Caenorhabditis elegans: one gene and its partner. The protein of the gene in region 2 purifies or fractionates together with the protein of the main gene of each other region. This does not show direct contact. Each region holds a gene or a part of one and is shown on either strand. Other genes may lie near its edges.

What was found.
Region 1: the proteins of T27A1.2 (region 2) and W03G1.2 fractionate together in Caenorhabditis elegans (co-fractionation; one large-scale study listed by BioGRID). This does not show direct contact.

What each region holds. Positions count from the first base shown.
Region 1 is NC_003282.8:522,709-528,763, forward strand, and holds W03G1.2 (Ribosomal RNA-processing protein 8), read left to right. Parts: upstream 1-1,943; 5' UTR 1,944-1,988; coding exon 1,989-2,045; intron 2,046-2,107; coding exon 2,108-2,339; intron 2,340-2,819; coding exon 2,820-3,229; intron 3,230-3,282; coding exon 3,283-3,588; intron 3,589-3,632; coding exon 3,633-3,680; 3' UTR 3,681-3,783; downstream 3,784-6,055. Other genes in the region: Putative sphingomyelin phosphodiesterase asm-3, read right to left, coding at 48-170, 326-417, 633-705, 765-937, 992-1,031.
Region 2 is NC_003280.10:528,485-535,922, reverse strand, and holds T27A1.2 (F-box associated domain-containing protein), read left to right. Parts: upstream 1-2,903; coding exon 2,904-2,920; intron 2,921-3,534; coding exon 3,535-3,786; intron 3,787-3,912; coding exon 3,913-4,237; intron 4,238-4,525; coding exon 4,526-4,797; intron 4,798-4,863; coding exon 4,864-5,026; downstream 5,027-7,438. Other genes in the region: T27A1.3 (F-box domain-containing protein), read right to left, coding at 1-40, 137-213, 262-345; lgc-34 (Neurotransmitter-gated ion-channel ligand-binding domain-containing protein), read right to left, coding at 5,703-6,014, 6,883-7,217.

The DNA of each region.
Region 1 (6,055 bases), on a different chromosome or scaffold from region 2:
GCTCTTTCTCCCTCTTTCTCAACAATTTTCCAAATTAAACACCATACCACATTCATATCTTGTGGTCGACAACATTGCGGAGTTCCACAGTCTGCCTCGAGCCCGACCGTGTAGAACATGTCAACATGAAGGTCGGTCAAGTGAAGTGCTCGCAGAGTTGGGTTGCCTGGCTGAAAATTGGAGGTTTTGTTGGTGTCGGGGTAGGCGCCTGTTTATGCCTACGTGCAAACCTACCACTTATCTAGTGGCATTCGGAAAATTTGGCAGTAGACAGTAGTAGGCAGGCATAGGTAGGCATACCTTTTTTGTCAAAAAAAAAACCTACCGGAACAACTTGTTTCGGCACGAATGGTGGCTGATTTCCAGGAATCGTCATGTTCCAAATTGTCGCCAATGGATCCACGAAGTCTCCGCAGTCTGAAATAATTCCAAATAGGCATGCAATCGTGCCTACCTACGCGCCTACATGCGTGACTAGCCTGAAAGATAGTGATCAGCTTGGCAGTCTACTAGAATCTTCTCAAGCCGCCCCGCACCCCATGTTCTATTAGGGCGGCGGGTCACTGTTACGCGTCGGTCTGGTAGTAGGCATGTAGGTAGGCATGTTTGTGCCTAGGCATGGTAGTACTTACCATTTTTCATAAGCAATCCGCAAAGTTGATGTGGAGTCACGAGAATTTGCTTGATGACATACATGAATTCGTCCTGAAATCTTTGATTTTCAATACATTTTTAAAATTAAATTAAATATTAATGTGTCTCACTGAGAAATCCGAAATAATAAAGTTACAGACATCATTATCTTCAATATGGAACGTTTCACAAATAAAAACCGCAATTTCCATAACACATTCTTCAGTCTTCTTTTCTCCCCACTCAAATTGCAAAAGGTCCACAATTGACTTGCATTCCTCGCATTCTGTCACCGCGAGGGTGCCTGGAAAATTTTTTCCTGGAATTTAAACACAAAAATGTAAATCTAAAACTCTACCCTGAAATGCGAGAGAAAGGACGAGAAGACCTAGGAGCATCGGAGCCGTATCGTTTCTGATGTTAAACGGGAGCAGCGGCGGAGGGGGAGAAGCCGAGGTTTCCAGTAATAAAGATAAGAAATTTGGAGCGGGAGAAGCACATGGCGATGACACGTTGGGAATGCTCACTGATTTTTGAACGACTTATCAGGTATGGAGACTACAAGTTTTTTGGAAACTATAACTTTTTGGAGAGGAAAAGTTCAAATATAGAAATTTTTCTTGAAAATGCACCAAAAAATGTGAATAAAACCTTTTTTCTGGACAAAGTGCCTACGTGCCTGCCTACTGCCTATTTTAGGCACGAGGCAGGCGCAGGTCGCCTAGTAGGCAGCTATCATTTTTGTATCGGCGCGAAAATTTCAAGAGAAACTACAACAATGGCATGTTTTCCTGCAATGTTGAAATTTTATGCCTGCCTACCGCCTATTTTAGGAATGTGTGTAGAACGAGGCAGGTGTAGGTGGTTCTAGTGGCCTGCAGACTAACATTTTTCGTGAACTTGAAAATTAAAAAATAACATTTTAACTAGTTGGGCTTTCCTGCCTGCCTATGGGCCTATCTACTGTAGGCAAAAGGCAGGCGTAGGCCGTTTCAAAGGCGTGTAGAAATTTTCGTGCGAAACCGAAAAAAGTTATGCAATATTAAATTAATATATATCTTCAAAACCAGAATACGTTTTTTCTACCTCTCTACCGCATATTTCTCGCCTGAAGGCATAGGTCGCCTTGCAGGCAAGTGGCACATTTGTGCTTATGTACATTGGAAAGGTTAAGAAAATGTTTTTTTTTAATTTAAATAAAATAAATTACTCCAAAAAACTGCACCAAAAGTTCAATTTAAAAAAAACGTGAACTTCAAAAATACGAGAAGATTCTTATCACATCCCCTACCCCCACTCTGAATTTTTTCATTATTTTTGTATTTCGAAACTTTCGCGTTGCATCTTCTCCCATCATGAAGAAATTGTCCAAAAAAAGCTCGAGAAGAAAAGTTAAAAATATTAACGAAAAAGTAAGTTGTGATTTTCGAAATTTTCAATTTCCAGGCGTCTTCCAGAACTAATTAAATTTCAGAAAAAGAAATCTAAGGCACGCAGTCATAAAAAGCAACAACTTCAAAAGTCGAAGCAACATGGTAAAAATAAGAAGACAAAAACTAAGTCAACTAGTGGATCTTTGTCGGTGGATAAATCGAAAGAGTCGGAAAAGATGTTGATAGCAAGGAAAAATGATTCAAGAACGGTGAATTACAAGGAAAAAGCACCGGAAGCTGTAAAAGATCATGAGATTCCTAATGCAAATCGCAGTGAGTTCTAGTGTTTTTTTTTTGAAATTTTTTTGGAAACTTTTAAAGGGCTCAGGAAAGTTTTTTAAACGGTTCGGAAGTTTTAGAAACCTTTGGAAAATTTCTGGAAGATTCTGGAAAGTTTTTGGAACGTCTGATGACTTTGAAAAATTCCAAAAATTTTCAGAAGCTTCTGGGAGCATCTAGACATTTTTGAAAGCTTATGAAAAATTTTTAAAGCCTCTGGAAACTCTTGAAACATTTTTTATTCGAAAAAAAAAAATCAATTTGAAACATTGAAATCCACGACGTCCACGTGGAAGCAAAATTATTTAATGACGTATAAAAAAAATTCCAACAAAAAAATTGTGCTTGCCTGTTCATCTTCTGCCTTTAGGTAGACACTAAAATGCCTACCTACCTTAGTAGGTAGGTAGGCAGGCATCTTTGTACCTACCTGAAAATCCAAAACCCTAACACCTCCACAATTTCCTGTTTCAGTTCCCGGAACGACACGGCTCAACGAACCGAAAAACATCGAGGTCACGAATCACGAGGTGGATGATAAGACGACGGAGCGAGTCTATAAGAAGTTGAGGGAAAAGAAGAAGTCGGCGGCGAAACCGAAACCAATCGATGCGAAAAGCAAGCTTCTGATGGATCGAGTGCCGAAAAAACCATATCGATTGAAGAATAAGCCCGATGGTATGATGTTGTGCGACGAGCCATCCACTTTCTACCGTACCAACACTTCAAAGAAGAAACTGAAGACGTCTTTACTTCCCGTTGAGGATTCTTATGATCACGTTCGAAAATTGGAGGACATTAAGAAGGAACCAGAGCAAGATGTGTACAAGGGTCAGGACGTCCCCACCTGGGCAGTAAAAATAGAACCAACTGACGATGACATGGTGAGTTATCTTTTTGTGTAGGTCTCAGGAAAAATAATTTTAAAAAATTTCAGAAAGAGACCGACGAGGCGATCACTGTGAGTACCGATCATTTGGAGATGTACCGAAACAAGAAGCTCAGTCTCAAAAGCATTCCCCCCACGAAACTGGTGCTCAACGAGCTACAACCGTTGGTGGAGTTGAAGAAGAGAGATGAAGTTCACTTTGAGACCGGGCTGGTGTTCTCCAACACGATTCGGAGTCTGTTGCTTGTCCATGAGAGTGCTCGAGCGCTGAGTGATGGAAAAGTGGATGATGAGTATTCCGACAAGAAGGTCCAGTTTGATACACAGGAACCGGAAGCAACATACATCTACTCGGTGAGATATTCCCGGCTGGGGAACAGCTAATTGAAAATTTTCAGAGAATCAACCCAATCGAATCGGCCAAAGCCGCTCGTTCTGGAAAGTGACACGCCAGCACTTCTACCACCAATACAACCACATCGAATTAGAACTGAACTTGATTTTGCCTTGATTTTATAAATAAAGTGTGCGTTCAGGGCTTAATTTAAAAATTTTTATTAATTTTAATAAGGAAATGCGAGCAAAAAAGTGAAAAAGGTTTCAATTTTTGCAGTGGGAGTGGATAGAAAGTAAAACAATGAAATCATTATGTGATGAGCGAGGTAAGGAATAACAGAAGAAGGCAATAAATACAAGTTTTTGAAAAAAATTTAAGTGAGAGTGGAGTAAATAAAAATGATGATGGGAGCTTAGTTCTGGACTTGGGAGGGAAATTGGTACTTACATTAGTTAATTTAGGTAAAAACCTGAAATTTTAAATTCCGGCAATTTTCCCTTTGGCCGATTTGCCGGAAATTTTTAAAGGGATTTTTTAACAGACGGATGAATTTTTTCTGTTTTTTCTACATATTTTCATAGAGCTTACTTTTAAAAATAGATGTAGGAACATTTATACGATGCGTACAATTTTGTCATTTGAAATTGAAACTCTGAAATTTCCAAAAAAAAAGTGCGAAACCACAATTTGCCGAGAATTTTTTCCGGCATATTTTCTAATAGTATTGCATGCGATACTAATTTCCGGATACCTTTTCAGTGCAATACTATTAGAGACTGCAAGACTAATTTCTTTGGGTGCAATACTAATAGAGAACATACGGTAATCGAAAAGTGAAATTAATATGCATTTTTAGGTTTAAAAAACACTAATTCTAAGCCTAATATAGACAAAAAAAGGCACGTTATATTTTCAAAATGATTGACTTTCTTTGGCAGGTATACTACACAAGTTCCGGAAAATTAAAAAAAAACTTTGAACAATAGAGTTTGTAATAGGAACAGCTTGAAAAATAGATGCAAAATGTAAGTTTTTCAAGATAATTCAGGCTCGCCCATTACAACAAAATTTTGAATGAAATTTGTAGAGGAGCACGAGTTTAATAACAATGAGTACAAGCAGTTTCCCAATCATCAAACCCAATATAGAACTCATCATATTCTGGGGGACTGGGGGCCCATTTCCTCACAGTTCCCAATCTGCCGACCTCATCTTCAGTGATCATATGGCCGACTTCATTCACTAATTCTCTCGCCACCATCATTGAATTTATCCTGGAACCCATTGCTGTGGTCAAGAGGTTTGTAATGTTACGAACATCATCAATAGTTTTTCTTTGTCTATTTCCACAATCACATTTTCGGATTTGAATACATCTTTCAATAATTTCACCAATCCCACAATTCGCTCATCCATAGTTTCCTTGTTATATGTAAAAACAAGAGCCGAGCTTGTGAAGCATTTTTGGGTGGCAACGCTTTCCGGTAGATTCCAAATTTTCCTTAGTGATTCAATATCCTTCTTCAATTCAGGAGCAAAAGAAAGATGAGGAAAACCTGGTTCCTCACATACTGCAACAAATATTCGTTTTGACACAAATATTATCAAGTTAAGTTTATAAAGATGTGTAAACTGTCTGACAGCTATCTTGGAATTCTGAGAAGCCATCGATAAGGATAATCTGAAAATTGTTATATAGTTAGACAGAAAAAACAGTATGGAAACACAGGAAGAGTATTTGAAACTATTAGGGTGAGAAATAAGTTTGTGGTTTTTTCTTGCGATATTTTTTCAAACTTTTATATGGTAGTTATAGGAAACTATGATTTGTGTACATTCAAATGTTGTGAATCAAATTTCTCGCTTCCATGCTTCTTGGAGCCACTTCTTGAATTTCAATAATTTCCAACTTCGATCCTTCGGTCCATTTTTGAAAAAGTTTCTCAGTGACGTGTGATTCAACAGGGCAATGAAATTCGATCGATTTCCATTTATTCACCGAGCTAATGATACTGTCGTTTGCAACAAACGCTTCTTTCACCACTCCCATCAGTCGCTCAATTTTCTCGGTTTCGCCGAACAATTTTCGGAACGCTCCATCGATAGTGGTCTGCTTTCAAAGTTCACGCAAATTCGATCTGGATCCTCGACTCGAAACGTTTGAGCAATTTTATGGAACGTGTAATCTTCAAAGTTCTCAAAGAAATTGGAGGAGAATGTCAAACTGTACGCTGTTTGTCTGTTATTTTTGAATGATTCGAAGATTTCGTTGCAGTATCCTAATAATTTTTGGTTCTTGTCCATACATTGCTTTTCGCCTGAAAATTTTTTTGGAACTGGCAACCAGAATTCAGATTTCTTATTCTCTTCGGCATGAACAGCGAGCTGCATCAATAAACGATTTGTCCCTCTTTCGTTCGAGTGAGAAACTGCCAATACCACCAGGTCTGTTGACACTCCGGTCCGAGATGGCAGCCAGAGCCT
Region 2 (7,438 bases):
TCTGCTTCGAACATTTTTTGAGGTCTCAGCCATATTGACTCTGAAAATGTACGACTCATTAAACAGTTTTAGCTCATTATTTTGTATAAAAATTACTTCAGAATCACACGGGGTGACCCAAAATGTATAGACTTACGCTTCATTAATAGCCATTAGATTGATTACATTTTTGAATGCAAGGTGCGGTAGTTTTGTTATTTGAAAAGGCTTTTTCTGTAAGAAATCGCAGTTTTCATGACCAATAAAAACAGAAAAACTTACGACGAGAAGTTTGAATATTATTGTTATTGCCACAGCTATTACAAGGCCGATTGTTATTAGTAAAACCAACAAATATTTGAACATTTTGAGACTTATTTGAAATAAATATCGACCCAGACAATATTATAATGAATGATTTATACAGAGAAAAAGAGCACTCAGATGTCTTCTGCGTCGTAGGTAGGAAGAGGAGAGGTCAACAGATGCGCTATACGATACAATGAAAGGAGGAGTACACCTCGTGTCAGACCTAAAAAAGAGACACATAAAATTTGAACATTTATAATTCCAATAATATCTCACAAAACTCACAGAATTAATAAAAAATATGCCAGAAAATTATTTATTTTGAAAAAAAACTGAAAATTTGACTGAAAATTCAGAACATTTGACAAAGTCTACGTCAAGTTTCATTCTTTGATGATTCACGAGGCTACAATAGGGAAATTCGGTAAAACCAATTAACATGCCCACCGGCCGGAGGGACACTCACAAAAAGGCGCTAAGTACTTTCCGGTTATCATACCAAATCACTATCATCTTATCATTCAATGGAGGTGACTACGTGAGCATAACACAAAATACAACGCGCGGTGAGATATTGGAAGGGATTTATGGATTATCAAATTGAGAAAATTAGTAAAATATTAATTTTGAAATGAAAATCCACGTGGTGCCAAGATGTACCATCCCGGTTTCACCTACAAAAAATGCGGGAATTTTTCGCAAAAAAAAATGTGACGTCCGCGTGATCTCTGCGTTTCAACTTCCGCATTTTTTGTAGATCTACGTAGATCATACCGAAATAAGAAAAAATTTGAAAATTCCAGTTTTGATAATTCATATATTGCAAAACTTACTCGAAATTTGATTATCATCACCACAATTATTACAAAAACGGCAATTAGTAAAAGCAACAAATATTCCAACGTTTTCGGAATTGGTGCATTCGATAAGTTTTCTAAAAAAAAGTATGGGCTGCAGCAGCTGGGGGAGACATCTTATGAGATCAAGAAAAAGGTGCATAACAGGGGTGGGCGGCAAACGATTTTTTCCGGCAAATCGGCAAATTACCGGAATTGAAACTTCCGGCAAATCGGCAAACCGGCAATTTGCCGATTTGCCGAATTTGCCGGAAAAACGGCAATTGCCGAAAATTGTGGGCAAATTACTGGAAAAAAGAAACACTTAATTTTTTTTCTGAATTTTCAAAAACTATTCTTGTCAACGAAAATTATACAACTTAAGTTCTTATGAAACTTACTTGATGCAACTTATCAGATTTTGGTTTTGATGATGAATATGATTTATACATTAATTTCACCATTTTTCATTATTCAAATCATCAATTAGTGTGAGATATTTATTACGTTACCTTAAAAAACAACGAAATTATTCAAAAAACACAAAATTGAAACGGGAACATTTTAAAATTGTTTTCAGTAGTAAGTTGTCGTGGTGAGACCTATGCTTCAAAACAGTGGCCCTACCTTTGATTATTTCCGACAAGTCTGATGCCCGGCAAACAGCAAATCGGCAATTTACCGAAAATTAAAATTTGCCGAATTTGTCGACAAATCAATTTGCCATCTGCCCGTGACGTCTCTCTCTAACCAGTGCTCTGTTTCTCTTATTGTGTTACTGTGTCGATCAATATTCTTTTTTGTTTTTTTTTTGCCTTTTCAAAATGCTCCTCGACTTTCTGATACTCTTAATCACTTACGACGAGAAGTTTGAATATTATTGGTATTGCCACAGCTATTACAAGGCCGATTGTTATTAGTAAAACCAACAAATATTTGAACATTTTGAGATTTACTTGAAATAAATATCGACCCAGACAGTACTATAATGATGTATACAGAGAAAAAGAGCACTCAGATGTCTTCTGCGTAGGTAGGAAGAGGAGAGGTCAACAGATGCGCTATACGATACAATGAAAGGAGGAGTACACCTCATGTCAGACCTAAAAAAGAGACACATAAAATTTGAACATTTATAATTCCAATAATATCTCACAAAACTCACAGAATTAATAAAAAATATGCCAGAAAATTATTTATTTGTAAAAAAACTGAAAATTTGACTGAAAATTCAGAACATTTGACAAAGTCTACGAAACAAAACAAAAATTACTGAAATTTTTGAGTAAATTAATTTTGCAAAAAATTACAAAACGAAACAAATTTCGTTTGGCCAAATGTTACCTTAAATTGTGAATTTCCGGCAAAATTTATTTTCAGCTCAGCCCTGTTGCATAACACCCCCCCCCCCCCCCCCCCCTGACCAACAGTTATTTACATCTGTTGACCTCTCATAGTCAGGATCTTATTGAGCCTTCCCGGTGGGGAGACCCCATCTGCCCGTGACGTCTCTCTCTAACCAGTGCTCTGTTTCTCTTATTGTGTTACTGTGTCGATCAATATTCTTTTTTGTTTTTTTTTGCCTTTTCAAAATGCTCCTCGACTTTCTGACACTCTTAATCATCGCCGTCATTTCAATATTTGCGGTCATAAAAATAAAATTTAAAGTGAGTTAATCCCTTATCATGTACAGAAAAAATTTTTAAAAAACTTTTACAAAAAAAACCATTCCGACTAACAAAACTTCAGCGTGTTGCATTCAGAACTGTAATAAATTCAATGAATATTAATGAAGTGTAAGTTACCTTTTTCTGGGCGGGGTCTAGCACACCACAAATTAAGATAATCGAAAAAACTAGGCCCAATATTTAAATTCCAGTCTGCGCACTAAATTTGAAATTGATTTTTTTCTAATTTTTAGTCTTGAAATTTACCGTATTTCCTCTGTTAGTCTTGCAACCCTACGGACCTTTTCTCATCGTTGTGGTGAATTTTTTTCTGGAATTTATACAAAAATATAGAGAAATATTCGTACTTCTTGCAGACAACTTCAATTTTGTTGCAGACAACTTCAATAAAATATTTGAAAAGTTGCTCAAAAAACGCATTAAATTTGAAAAATGGCCTGTGAAAGTGCCGATCGGCACATTTAGACTGTGGCACAGTTTTTGTAAAGTTATTTTCAAAAAGTACAAGTATTTTTCTATATTTTCATATACAGTTTCAAGAAAAAAGTTCGACACAACGATGAGAAACAGAGGATTTTGCAAATGTTGATTCCGTAAAAAAATAAAAACCAAGTGCCTCTGCTGCTACGGACCGATTAAAATTAGTTTAAAAAATGCAAGGAGAAACAATAATTATCATTAAATTTCTTGAACAGTGAAACACAAAGTTAGAAAATTTTCAGAATCGATTTGGCTAGGACATCTACTCGTTTCCGACGGAGTTTGAAACAAGTAAATCGAAAAATTTTCAACGTAATCATTGAATGCTATGATGAGTATTCTTCCGAATTGGGAAACTATTTCTGGTATCGAAGGATAACAGTTTTGGAAACAGAGAGAGATATGCAATTTGCTTATCACTTTATGATGAATCAAGAACAAGGAATCAACTGGGCAACTCATCAGAACGTCCATTATTTTATTAATCTGTTTTGGTAGGATTTTTTTTTGACTCAAAAAAACGGCAAAATTTTTAATTTTAACGATATTCTTTCCGCCTTTTTTAACAATAGCCCATTGACAATATACTACTTACTTTTTGAAAAACAAAAGTTTTCCAGCACGTACCACAAGGATGTGAACAAGTCGCCATGCTTGTCCTATGAAACTTCACAAGAGTTAATCAATCTTTTGGGCATTTTAAATGATTCATTTAAAATCGACCATGTTGAATTGGCAATGGAACGTGATGAAATCTTTGGGGAATTCAAATCCGCACTGAGTCATCCATTATTTCGGAAATGCCATTTTGTTAAAGTTCTCGGCGAGCTATCGTTCGTTGACACAGAAGACGTGGAATTCATATTGAAGAATTTCGATTTGAAATTTGGATTTTCAAATTGTAGTTTTCAACTAGTCGGGTTCAACAAAAAACTCATAAAACTGGTAAGTTTAAAATGTATGTAGCACATATTTCAGTACTTAATGATGTAGTTTAAAAAAACGGGAAATTCTGAAAATGTTTTATCAGCATTTCAAGCTACTTACCGAGTCTGTGTTTGCAAAAAAACTTTGTAAGAAATGCTTGCTTACTTTCCTATTTTTCCTTTGGTAAAAGTGATAGTTTAAGTTCCTATTCTGCAAGTTTTTCTTATGACACGATTAAAAAATCGTATTGCAATAAATAACATTATGTATCAGTAATTTCCTAAAATACACTACTCTTTTTTTAAGTTTTACAATATTCCACGGTTGGACTTACGAAGATGCCCAAAATTAACATTAGACGATTTGAAACTGATGAATTGCGAAACGATTCGATTCGATTATTTTGGTGGATTCTCGGGAATACAACTAAACTGGCACATTCAATACTGGTTTGCCGGAAATATGTCAAAACTACGAAGATTTCAATTAAACTACTGGCCTTATGAGTGGACTGATGACTTATGTGATGGTTTGCCACACTCCGAGTGGAATCCAAAACGTCGAGCAAGATATTTCTAGTGAGTTTGATAATAAGCTCATGCCTAATAAGTTATGGTTCTGAACTAAACCCAAACTTATTTCAGTGATGATCTGGAAGTCGTTGATTGTTTAAAAGGACGCGATATCGAAAGAAGTGACGGTCTACTTGCAACTATTTTAGTCGAATATGATACCATGTACTTTCTCATATGGCATGATAGATTCCCGATGGATCAACAAACATTGTTTCGCTTTACGGATAATTAATATTTACATGCTTTTTGAATTTTTGCAATATAAATTACCATTTTCTTGAATCGTTTTGTTAATTTATTTAAACCTGTGAGCTAACACGAGCATGTTATCGATCATCTAATATACTTTTTTTGGAGCAAAAATGATTTTCTTGAACATGCTACATTGCTTTGGATTTTTTCAAAATCTCATATTTTTCAAAATTTTGACAATTTGCCAAAACTTTGATCGTAAATTATCAAAAATCTAAACATTTTTGGAGTCTTTTATTATGGTATTTGGTCGTTTTGGATCATTGTAAGTGTATTTTGACAATGTTCCAACTGGCGCTACTCCACCTTTAAAGTCATTTGATAGAAGATAAGGTTTCAATAAAATATGTAAATTTTGTTTTTATTTAAGAGATTCTGAATCTTGGATTTTAATTTATATTTACCCAATTTTATGCCTTTAAAATTAAAGCTAGATTTTTTGATTCACTTTCTTATTATCCGAAGCTTCTGGCACCTACTAACGTTTGATATTAATTTTTAAAGAAGTTGGATTTATTCTTTAAAATTATAGTTCTTTGTGGAAAAAAAAGTATTCATTTCTTAAAAGAAATATTGTTGAAAACTGATAATAAAATAAGCACTAGATATTTCAGAAGCTGTTGAGTTTTTAACACTTTTCAAAAAAATCTCAATTTTTAAACAATAAAAATAAAGTAAATAATCAAAAATACAATAGTGACAATAGGAAAAGCAACACGAGAGATCACATCAATTCCATTATTATCTCTAAATGAGGCGCACCCCTCGTTATAGGCGACCTCCACGGTCTCCTTGGCTGCTCCCATTGGGTGGTCTTCCTGTGGTCCGAGGGTCTTGTAACGGATGGAACGGCGTCCTCCACAGCAGATGACAAGGAAATATTCAACAAATGAGAAGAAGGTGAGCACAAGGCAGAAGGCTAGCCAGGCACCTTGAGCTTGAGTGTAGGAGTCTTCTCTCATGAAGATCTGGAATAAATGTTTTAGAAAGTATTTGAATTTTTAATTTGAAACTTTGAAATTCTTATTTTAAGAGCTTTAAAATAAGTCCCATGTCGACCTATTATGGACAACTTTTATGATTCTGGCTTGCGGTGCGGTCGCGTCGCGGTTTTTCGTGATATGTTTTAAAATTTTTGTGGCTAGAAACGCTAGAAATTTGATAAACATATATTCAAAGTGTTCTAATCGGCTTTCACAATTGTTTAAAAAAATTTCGAAATTTCGAAATTTTCTAAAATTTTATTAAACACTATGAAATTTTTGTAAATTGCATCAAAGATCAGATTATTGACATTGAGTGCTTTAAAATAATCCCAATATTGGCTTAATTCAACCAACTTTGAAATGTATTTCTCGCGGTGCGGTCGCGGCGCGGTCGCGTTGCGGTTTTTCATATTTTTTTAAGGGAAAATTTTGAAAATGAACGTTTTATGCTCATAGTTATGAAACTTTTTGAGCCGCGGCGCGAACGCTACGCAGCTCAAAAGCTACCGAATCATTCAAAATTGAACTAATCTAGTCAGAATGGGTGTTATATTTAAGCTCTTGAAGTCAAAAGTTCGATTTTTTAGTTCGATAGTTGAAGTAAATTTCGGTGGACTTTTGATAAAAACTCGTTTTTTTTTATTTTAAAATCTAAATAAAATAATTTTGAAGTTGAACTTTTGTTTCAAATTCAGATTGCTGACGTTATAAGCTTCAAAATAAGCCCCATAATGGCTATAATTGGATTCTTTTGAAATTTGTGTAAAAAACGCGACGCGACCGCGACGCATCTATGTTTTTATGATTTTTCGTAACTGTTGCATTTTGTGCTGAAACTCGAAAAACTTACGTAGTACGCAGCCAAGATGAAAAATGGAACAGCAGCAGAAATAGTTCTCGGGACCGACCAACTTCCATGAATCCAAAAATGAAGCCAAGACCCAATCAGAAGGAATAAGCTGGGCAAAAACCATGACATGAGCCCGGAAATCGTACTGGCAGAGAAATATACATGTGCATCAATACAGGAATAGACGCCAACTGTATAGTTACCGACACAGTCTCCTGCACTGGCTTCTTCGAATGTCAGATCTCCTTTCAAAAGATCCTGAGACACTTCAATGGGGTTAACTAGAGGTGGGGAGTTGGCCCAGAGGTACACAATATCGTCAATGTCGTAGTTGTCTGGAAATAGGAGATTGAGTTCAAAATCGGAAGAAACTAGTGAATTTTTCACGCCAGATCGTAGACTTAGCGCAAAACTAGAATAAAATCTCGATTTTTTGTTGGAAATTTTTTGAAATTCGGTAATTTATCGTGAAATCTGGGGTTTTGGGTTACTGTAGTTGCTTGTTGTATACGTACTTAACCTCAGATCTTACGACAATTTACGCAAAAGTCCTAAA